3 linked regions of the Mus musculus genome follow. The protein of the gene in region 2 interacts with the protein of the main gene of each other region in a biochemical or structural test. Links are inferred from orthologs where the notes say so. Each region holds a gene or a part of one and is shown on either strand. Other genes may lie near its edges. The genes, in order: Taf3, H3f4 and Cbx1.

Evidence for each region.
Region 1: the proteins of H3f4 (region 2) and Taf3 form a complex in vitro, tested with the Homo sapiens proteins (2 studies listed by BioGRID, with this or other methods). The link is inferred for Mus musculus from reciprocal best matches to the Homo sapiens genes H3-4 and TAF3.
Region 3: the proteins of H3f4 (region 2) and Cbx1 interact in a test that uses a peptide from one of them, tested with the Homo sapiens proteins (3 studies listed by BioGRID). The link is inferred for Mus musculus from reciprocal best matches to the Homo sapiens genes H3-4 and CBX1.

The regions. Positions count from the first base shown.
Region 1 is NC_000068.7:9,950,969-9,954,622, forward strand, and holds part of Taf3 (transcription initiation factor TFIID subunit 3), read right to left. Parts: intron 1,978-3,654; coding exon 146-1,977; intron 1-145. UniProt on the Homo sapiens protein: The TFIID basal transcription factor complex plays a major role in the initiation of RNA polymerase II (Pol II)-dependent transcription.
Region 2 is NC_000077.6:58,960,087-58,962,802, reverse strand, and holds H3f4 (predicted gene 12260), read right to left. Parts: upstream 1,093-2,716; 5' UTR 992-1,092; coding exon 581-991; 3' UTR 530-580; downstream 1-529. UniProt on the Homo sapiens protein: Core component of nucleosome. Nucleosomes wrap and compact DNA into chromatin, limiting DNA accessibility to the cellular machineries which require DNA as a template.
Region 3 is NC_000077.6:96,799,033-96,802,686, reverse strand, and holds part of Cbx1 (chromobox protein homolog 1), read right to left. Parts: intron 1,917-3,654; 5' UTR 1,880-1,916; coding exon 1,740-1,879; intron 1,259-1,739; coding exon 1,081-1,258; intron 1-1,080. UniProt on the Homo sapiens protein: Component of heterochromatin. Recognizes and binds histone H3 tails methylated at 'Lys-9', leading to epigenetic repression. Interaction with lamin B receptor (LBR) can contribute to the association of the heterochromatin with the inner nuclear membrane.

The sequences.
Region 1 (3,654 bases), on a different chromosome or scaffold from region 2:
TTTGATCTTTGTAACCACATTACAAATAAATGTCACCTAACTGCCCCTCGATTTACATCCAAAACCCAGCTCTAAGCCCTGGCTGCGTTTACCTGCGGTTTGCACTAAGGCCTTGTTCAGACTGTGAAAATGACACCCAGCTTACCTTCTCATGTTTGTGCTTCTCCTTCTCCTTCTCTCTCTTCTCTCTCTCCCTTCTCTCCTTCTCCCTCTCCCTCTCTTTCTTCTCCTTTTCTTTCTCCTTCTCTTTCTTCTTCTTCTTCTCCTTTTTGTCCTTTTTCCTTTCTTTCTCCTTGGGCTTCTCTTTTTCCTCAAACAGTTTTTCTGGGAGCATTGGTGAGAAGGCCGGCAGCATGGCCGGGACCCTCACTGCTGAAGGGCTGAACAAAGGCAGTGCCATTTCTTTTGGGGGCAACACCAGCTGTGTTGGAGGGGCCTTTATCTTGTCTTCTCTGTTTTTTTCTTTAAGCCTTTCCCTTTCTCGCTTATCTTTCTCCCGCTTGCTTCTTTCTCGATCTTTCTTCTTGTCCTTATGTTTCTCTCGCTCTCTCCTCACGATCCCATCTTTCAATCGCACTTTCGCAGCATCAATGTCTTCAAATTCTTTGATTTTAAACTTATAGGGATCAGAATCTTCGTCTTTCATCAGCTCCCTCCACGGGTACTTAAGTTCCTTTCCAGCCTCCTTCTCCTTCTCCCTCTCTCTCATTTTATCTTTCTCTTTGCTTCTTTCTTTGTTTCTCTCTCTCTCCCTCTCTCTGTCTCGCTGCTTTTCTTTCTTTTTCAACTTAGTCTTCAGTTCTTTTTTCAACTTTTTCTTTACATCCACAGACGAAGGCAGCTTGGCTTTCTCCTCATACCCCTTGTGTAGAGGCTCAGGAGTGGGAGGAGAAATTGAGGGAGAAGAGATATATGGGAAGGTGGGAGGCATGTTGGAAGGGGCTCCCAGCTTTGCCTTCCGTACCACCTCATCAATAGAGGCATCCATTGTCCACGAGTTATCTGAACTTGAGGTTCCGCTGGAGAGAGGCAGAGGAGTGGCCAGGGACTTGGTGAAGTTATTGGAGGAAGTGGAGGCTTTTGGAGTGGCGCACTCTGAGCCTGAAATCCTCTTAGGACTTGTAAAAGTGTCTCCTTCCGATTCCGATCCGGAAGAAAACTCGAAAGGGTCTGGCTCCCGCTCTGCACAGGCACGTGCGATCACAGCATCGATGGAGTCATCGATGGTTTTGTCTGTCACCACAGGCTTTTTCGGCTGCATTTCAATGTTCAGTTTCACAACTTCTGGGGGAGTCTGTGTTGGTTTCATCACTGGGATGGTCTCTTTAACAGTTTTTTCAACCACCATGGCTGAAGGGGTCCTATTTGGTGTTTCAGGTCTGACAGGGGTTTGGGGAACATGAGCTACAATCTTGGGGCTCTTAGGACTCTTGGGGCTCTTGGAGCGTCCAGGTGACTTCTTTTCTTTTGGGATGGTTTTTGGTGACCGAATAGGACTTCCAAGCCTTGCTGGTGATAGGGCAGCCTTGGGTGACTTAGTTTTCTGACCTGGAGAGCTAGCTTTAGTCTTTGTTTTTGGTGTAAACGACTTTGTTTCTAACGGCTTTGCAATTGGTAGTTGTGACTTTGCAAATGGAGCCAGCATGGGAGGCTGTGGTGATGGAGGGGCCAGATCAGCCCTGTCCTGGACACGCACAGGAGAGAGCACTGGTGGGGTCTTCTGTGGGTTTATAGAGCTGAGGGGTTCTCGTGCTTCTAACAACACAACATCTAGGGAGTCCCCTTTAGTGCTCAGGAGTCGTGGGCGCTTCATGGAGGGCATTTCTTCCACTTCAGGACTGTCCAGTGGCCTCTTACCCAAGAAGTTCTCATCATTGATGACTTCCTCCTCCTCCATCTCATCATCTTCTTCCAAGGGCACCTGCATGGCTTCTGCTGAGGTGCCCCCATCAGTGGGCACCTGTTCCTCTTCCTCCTCTGCAAAGGGTGAAAAGGGCACTATTAGAATGGATACAACAAACAGAACCTAGTCTTCAAACATCACTTCTTGGAAGGGAGAAACAAAGTTCAGAACACAAAGCAACGAGCCCTCCCAGGTCTTCCCAGCCTAGGCTCTTCATCCTTTCACAAACGGCCACACAGAGGACCAGTGTGACCTCCTATTCTGTGCTCCTCTCGCTCCTTCCAACACTCACATGGCCTCAGAAACACAGCAGTGTTCATGACCGCTAATCTCGGAAATGAAAGGCACACTTTTAAAAGACGCTTATGTGTGTAGAAGCCAGAGGCTGACACCGATGTCTGTCTGTTGCTTGCTGAGATCGGCTCCCTCACTGAAACTGGATCTTACCCATCTAAGGAGACTGGGTTATGCCGGACATGGTGGCACATGCCTTTAATCCCAGCACTTGGGAGGCAGAGGCAGGCGGATTTCTGAGTTGGAGGCCAGCCTGGTCTACAAAGTGAGTTCCAGGACAGCCAGGGCTACACAGAAAAACCCTGCCTCGAAAAACCAAAAAAAAAAAAAAAAAAAAAAAAGAGAGAGACTGGGTTATGGTGGAGGACATACAGATCCAAATGCTTTTGTGGCAAGCATTTTACTTGACTAAGACATCTTCCTAGTCTTATGAAAAAGACTTGTGCAAAAAATTTTAATCTCTGTACACAATTCAGATTATAGGTACAACCCCCACCCCCACCCACCCCTGGAATGACAGCATAGTACAGTGTGAGGAACTTGGATCAGATATCTGAAACTATGTTTAGTTAGTGTCTGGCCCTACAGAATGATGGGCCTTAGGCAATCTGAACCTCCTTGAGCAAGTTTCCTGACCTTTCAAAAGGAGCTGATACACTTGCCTTGCCTATTTGACTTAGTCCTTATAAGACCAGCTTGTCTTTCTGTTCTGTACATATTCAGTAAGCATATACTGCATGATGAGAATGCCTGAAAGAACTATACAATCAACTCCTGACCTACACTAGTGCGTGTGTATGGCACACAGAAAGGTAACTGGTACCCCAGACAAATTGTCCAGGAGTTCAAAGCACAAGGGGACGAGTCGCTGTCCACGGGGGAGACTTCAGGAATAATGCAGTGATTAGAATATTGCCAGGAGTGCCAGAGTACAGGATGAAAGGCTCAGGTGGTAAAAAGGAGGACTTGAGACACAGGAATACTTTGTCTGGAATGTGAGGAGGAGAAAGGCAGAATAAGTGAAAGCTGAGTAAGGTTGTACCCACGTCACGAGGCTTCTGTACTCTGCTACTTTACACTCAAGTATGCCCAAGACTACCTCAACAAAACACATGGTAGACAGAGTGGGTGGTGCCAGACACCAAAAGGAGGGACAGATGAGGGGTATGGCTAACACAGTGTAGGCAAGAGTGAAGAGACTAGACTAGAAAATGGCAGCAGACAGGAATCAGGAGAGGTGGATGACATTCTTTAGACAGTGAGCAGACACTACACGCTCAGATATGACTTGGAGTCTAACACAAGCCCAAGGCCGTCGTTAACAGGAAGGCGAATGGAGAGTAATGATGATTTTTAGCTCTATCCCAGACACAAAGCTTGAGCAACACTTAGCCAGTGGTGTTGACTGAGCAGCTCAAAAATATGCTGAAGTTCCAAAAACCAGAGTGGGATATGAG
Region 2 (2,716 bases):
CTGGATGTGTCCCCTGGAAATATGTAAGTTAACACTTTCCTGACTCTTTTGCTGCCGCCGTTAACAGATGGGCAAAATTAACTTTAATCAAAGGCAGTTCACTGGGCTTTCCATCAGGAGAAAGGCCAACTTTTCAAGTACAGGAATAGCTAGCCTTTTTAATACCAGGCATTATGAGCCTTAAAACACAAAACATAAGTAACTTGGTTACTGAGCAGATGCGTTTGGATACTATCAACTATGCAAACATAGCACGTTTACTGCCGGTAGGAGCTACCTTCACTTGGTAAAACCAGTCAGCAACACAACCATCATCTTGTAGTACAAGGGCTCAGGCCACTATACCTATCAAGGGAAGGCAGGTTAGAATAGGACGGAGCTGCAAGTCAAATAGCTCAATGGGCAAGGATTAGCTGCTAAGCCCTCTAGACTGATCTGGGGAGACACTTCGATTGCCGGCCACCTTGTCTTCACCTCCTGAGGAGACAGGACACCTAAGTCTACGTTACAGACACTTTTTCTGACTCTGTGGGTGGCTCTGAAAAGAGCCGTTGGGTTCATGAGCGGTGCCTGTGGGAGCCTAAGCCCGTTCTCCGCGGATGCGCCGAGCCAACTGGATGTCTTTGGGCATGATGGTCACCCGCTTGGCGTGGATAGCGCACAGGTTCGTGTCTTCGAACAGCCCCACGAGGTACGACTCGCAGGCCTCCTGCAGCGCCATCACCGCGGAGCTCTGGAAGCGCAGGTCGGTCTTGAAGTCCTGGGCGATCTCACGCACCAAGCGCTGGAATGGCAACTTGCGAATCAGCAGCTCGGTGGACTTCTGGTAGCGCCGGATCTCGCGCAGCGCCACCGTGCCAGGGTGGTAGCGGTGCGGCTTCTTCACGCCCCCGGTGGCCGGGGCGCTCTTGCGGGCCACCTTCGTGGCTAGCTGCTTGCGCGGAGCCTTGCCTCCCGTCGACTTCCGTGCCGTCTGCTTGGTGCGTGCCATCTTCCTGAATCGTCCGCCTCCCTTGCTCCTCAGGTGCACAATGTGGGGGGCGAGTAGCACTGCTTTTATAGACCCAGCTACATTCCTATTGGCTGCCCACCAGGTGGCATTATGGGATGCTGCACTCTGATTGGTCCATTGGGGGATTGACTTTACACCCTGCCTCTTATATTCTCTCTGAGTGGTGTGGACTCTGGAACTGTTAGTTGCGGCTCGGTAGGAGGGCAGCGGGGTCTGTGGAAAAAACTCAAGTCGCTTTCTTGGAGCTTTTATTGTTGTTGTTAAATAAAAAAACAAAACAATCTTGCCTCGACTCCCAAGACACAAAGAACCTTCTAGAACCTTTCTGCATGCTTCCTTTATATAACAACGAGGCATAGTTTTCCTGAGTTCTGGAATACTAAAAAAACATCCACCTGGTCTGAGGACGCCCCTGGGGGCGAGGGCTGGAGGTAGCTCAGCAGTTAAGCTTAATTCCAGGACTCGGGAGGCAAAGGATGGTGGATATCTGTGTGTTTGAGGTTAGCCAGGGCTACATAGTATTAACACTATTTTTTAAAAATAGGGAGGGGTAGAGATGGAAAAAAATAAAGAGAAAAACGAAAAGAAATTGTGTCGTTTGCTGGAACAATGGAAAGAACTCAAGATCACAGTGTTAAGTAAGCTGGATCCAGGCAGGAAGAAAAGCATGGCATGGGTTCTCTAGCATGTGGAAGCTAGATTAAAAAAAAAAAAAAAAAAAAAGCATAAAAATGGGGTCGGGGTGGTATTTATAGAGAGAAAGGGACCAGAGGGAAGAGGAAAAAAAGGGGAGAGCTGGTGTGTGTGTGTGTGTGTGTGTGTGTGTGTGTGTGTGTGTGTGTGTGAAGTTATCAAAATGAAACCCATTACTAAGCACAGTTAACGTACGTTAATTAAAAAAAAAAAAAAACTAGAAGATATGACTCAAAGAACAGTAGTCCATGCTTATAACTTCAGTACTCGGTAGCTGAATCAGAAGGATAATAATTTTGAGGCTTAGAGTACACTGAAATGACGCTTTATCAAACAAAATAAAACATCTTTAGATCTGAAAGAAAATTAGGAAAAAAAAAAAAAAAAGGATTTCTGAAGCAAAGGCTTTCAAGGATAACATGGGCTGTATTCAAGGATTCCCCCAAAGGTCACAATCAGGGTATCAAACAATAGTAATAATGATTATTTAGATCACGTCAGAGGATGAGAAATGTCGTCCACATAATTTCAAAAAACGTGAGTCCAGAAAAGGATAGAAATCAAACTGTGGTGCATCTTTACGGATTTGGTTAAAAAATAGAACTCACTGACAATCATGGTGTTTTGCTTCCAAACGTGTATGTGTAGTTTAAACTGACGCCGGTGAACGCCAAAGCGGGGAATCCCGAGCCCGTGCCTGCGGTGTGCGGTCGCGGGTAGGCGCTACGCCAACCGGAGGACGTGGGTCGTCCATTGGTGGTGCCCAGGAACCGGGACGTCCCGGCCCGCGCCACTCTCTAGTGCCAGCTTATGGATACAGTGACAGGGAAAATAGCTTCACGTTCAGAAAGAACCGAAACTCTTGCCTCTGGGAATGTACGACCCTGTGAGACATCGGCGACACACACAGGGCTTGAAATTCTGAGGGAGCCAGGGAGGAAGGAGCTGTCCATCTTGCACCTCACACAGCCAATTGGATCAGTCAGAGCTTTTGGACTGACCAATCAGAAA
Region 3 (3,654 bases), about 38 Mb from region 2:
TATATTCAGAACTAAGTTATTTATTTTTAAGAGATGTAATGCAACATTCACTCAGGGCTTCCTTTGCTTCCCACACCATGTACCAGAAGTCTGAAGTACATGATACCCGAGGTCCTCCCAGCATCAACAGGATATACACCCCAAGCAAGAGATGGTCACAACTGCCTCAACGGTAAGTTACTTGAGATACTAAGTAAGTCAAAACAGCCATATCAAATCTTTAGTTTTGTTATTATTTTGTTTTGTTTTTTTTCGAGACAGGGTTTCTCTGTATATCCTGGCTGTCCTGGAACTCACTTTTGTAGACCAGGCTGGCCTCCAACTCAGAAATCTGCCTGCCTCTGCCTCCCAAGTACTGGGATTAAAGGCGGACGCCTCTACCGCCCGGCTTTTATTTTATTTTTAAAACAGAGTTTTTCTGTGTGTAGTCCTGGCTCTCCTGGAACTCACACTGTAGAGTGGGAGAGACTACCTCAAATATTTAATGATCAAAACACCAAAAACTGTCTAGTGACAGGAAATGAATCTGATAAGTCTCCAATAACCGTTACATGTTGTTATTTCTGCACCATGGATGAAAAGTAAGATCACTGTATAAGAGCAAGCCCCAAATCCTTTTTAGTTTTGTTATATTTTGCTGAGACAAGGTCTCCTGCAGTTCAGGTCTCTTATCCTTGATCCTCTTGCCTCCCTCTTCTTCCTAAATGCCAGGATTACAGCTATGTACAAGGTTGACTCCAAAATCCCTTTAAAATATTAGCTTATTTCAGATAGAAAGGACATGACTTCTGAGATCCAAAGGAAGAAAGTCCAGTATGGTAGTTCGTACTCATAATCTCAACAGTTAGACCTGTTATCTCAAAACTTAGAAGGCTAAGAAAGGAGAATTGCTACAAGTCTAAGGCAAACTTGGGATACAAAATTATAGGCCAGCCTAGGCTTCTATGCAAGACCTTATCTAAAATAATAAAAAATAAATAAAAAAAAAAAAAAGAAGGTGAAGACAGGAAAGAGGAGGTAGAAACAAACTGCTAGAATTCTCTGCCTCTGGCTAGTGAAGATTACTAGTTCTAGCTTTACCTCTTCTTTCTTCTTCTTTGGTTTGCTTTCCTCTCCTTTATCTTCAGAATCAGAATCAGCTTTGCGCTTGCCTCCCTCTGACTTATCTGTCTCATGAGCTGTTTTCTGTGACTGTAGAAACTCAGCAATAAGGTCAGGGCAATCCAGATTCTCTTCTGGCTCCCAAGTGTTGTCCTCACTGAAACCAGCAAGCACAGCAAGTTATACTTTCCATTCAGATCAACATCTTTATATTAAGGAAAGAGCTAGTCTTGGAAGAGAGATAAATGATAACCAATCGCTAGACTTTCCTAGTAGGGGAAGGTAGAGACCAAAGGCTTAGAAACTTGCATTCTTCAAGGAAAAACTATTTTGCAAAAGTGGACAATCCTATACAAATTGATCCTCAGAAACCATGTCTTAGGCTGGCAGGATGCCTAAATGGGAAAAGGAGCCATTTGCCATGCCTGAAGACCTGGCTTCCATCCCAGGATTTACATGGCACCCCTCCTCCAATATATTAAAACAAGACAAAAAACTCAGTCATATAATACTCTGCATGTAGGTCCTATCAGCTGTGGAGGTCAGTACTGAAACAAGGTTATGCCCATCACAGAACTGCTAGTAAGCATATATGATTTTTCATAGTGACCGAATTTACCTGTGTCAATGAAACTTACTCTGAGAAACCCTTCCACTTTAGAAGATATTCCACCTTGCCCTTGACAACTCGCCGATCAAGAACTTTTTCCACCACATATTCCTCTTCCTCTTCTTCTAGTACCTCCTCCACTTTCTTCTTGTTTTGCTTTTTCCCCATAGTACCCGCCAGCTTTCTGGTGTGAAGGGTGACACTGCTAAACAATTAAAGGAAATAAAAAGGGCATCAGGCACATTTCCTGGCTGGATAAGTAAGTATCTGGATGGTGAGGAGCCCAGGGAAATCACAGGTGACATATGCTGCATCCAATGCTCTGCTCAACTCCAATTCACAACCATGATGGTAATGTTTGCTAGGGGTAAGCCACAATTACTAATCTCATAGCGAATGATTGTCTATTCTGTTCTTTCCCTTTGGACAAGCTGTCCTCAGCTTTCTTAGTGATGGAATTATAGGTGTATACTACAATGTGTGGGAACAATTTCTGACCAGGCAGTGGTGATATATACATTTAATCCCAGCACTTGGGAGGAGAGACAGGTGGATTTTTGAGTTCGAGGCCAGCCTGGTCTACAAAAGTCAGTTCCAGTACAGCCGGAGATATACAGAGAAACCTGGGGGGTGGGGTTCTGAATATATCCATTTACAACTTTTATACTAATAATTCCTAATACCACTTGCCATAAACTATAGTACCTAAAATACTATGTTGAATCACAGTTATATATATTTTATTATCTAACTTTCTTTTTGGAGAGAGGGTCTCATAAAGATAGCCCAGGCTGACTGAACTTCTGATCTGGTTTCTACCTTTCAAGTACTGAGATTACAGATGTGTGCTACCATGTCCAACTTTAAAAAAAAAAAATCCTTTATTTTCCACTCCGCTATTCTCGAACACAGTCATAAATTCATGGCTCAAACTTAAAACATTCTTTTACTATGTGTATATTGAGTCAAGGACATCAGGAGATAATTTATGGAAGTCAGCACCATGTGGGTCATGGGCTTGGCTGAGCCTGATGGTCTCATGTACCCCAGGCTGACCAGGAACTCAAACTATAGCAGAGGATGACCATGAGCTTCAGATCCTCCTGTTTCTACCTCTGAGTGCTAGGATTATAGAATGTCACACCCAGTTTATGTAGGGCTAAATAACTCAACACATTTCGTGCAATATGCATGAAAGGCAAGCAAGAGATGGTCACAACTGCCTCAACAGTAAGTTACTTAAGATACTAAATAAGTCAAAACAGGGGCTGGAGAGATGGCTCAGTGGGTTAGAGCACCCATCTGTTCTTCCAAAGGTCCAAAGTTCAAATCCCAGCAACCACATATTGGCTTACAACCACCCGTAATGAGATCTGATGCCCTCTTCTGGTGTGTCTGAAGTCAGCTACAGTGTACTTACATATAATAAATAAATAAATAAACAAACAAATCTTTAAAAAAAGTCAAAACAGCCATATCAGATCTTTAGTTTTATTATTATTATTGTTGTTATTATTATTTTTTTTTTTGGTTTTTTTCGAGACAGGGTTTCTCTGTAATGTCCTGGCTGTCCTGGAACTCACTCTGTAGACCAGGCTGGCCTCAAACTCAGAAATCCACCTGCCCCTGTCTCCCGAGTGCTGGGATTAAAGGTGTGTGCAAAGGTCCCGAGTTCAATTCCCAGCAACCACATGGTGACTCACAACGACCTGTAATGAGATCTGACACCCTCTTCTGGAGTGTCTAAAGACAGCTACAGTGTACTCACATATAATAAATAAATAAATATTTTTTAAAATTCTTAAAAAAAAGAAAGAACACTGATTTCCTCACCAACTTTCCCAGGGCCAGTTATACAGAAGAGACCTGCATTCCACCTTCAGATCCCAGAGGTGGCAGGAGAGAACCAACTCCAGACAGACCCTCACCCATGTACCACCATG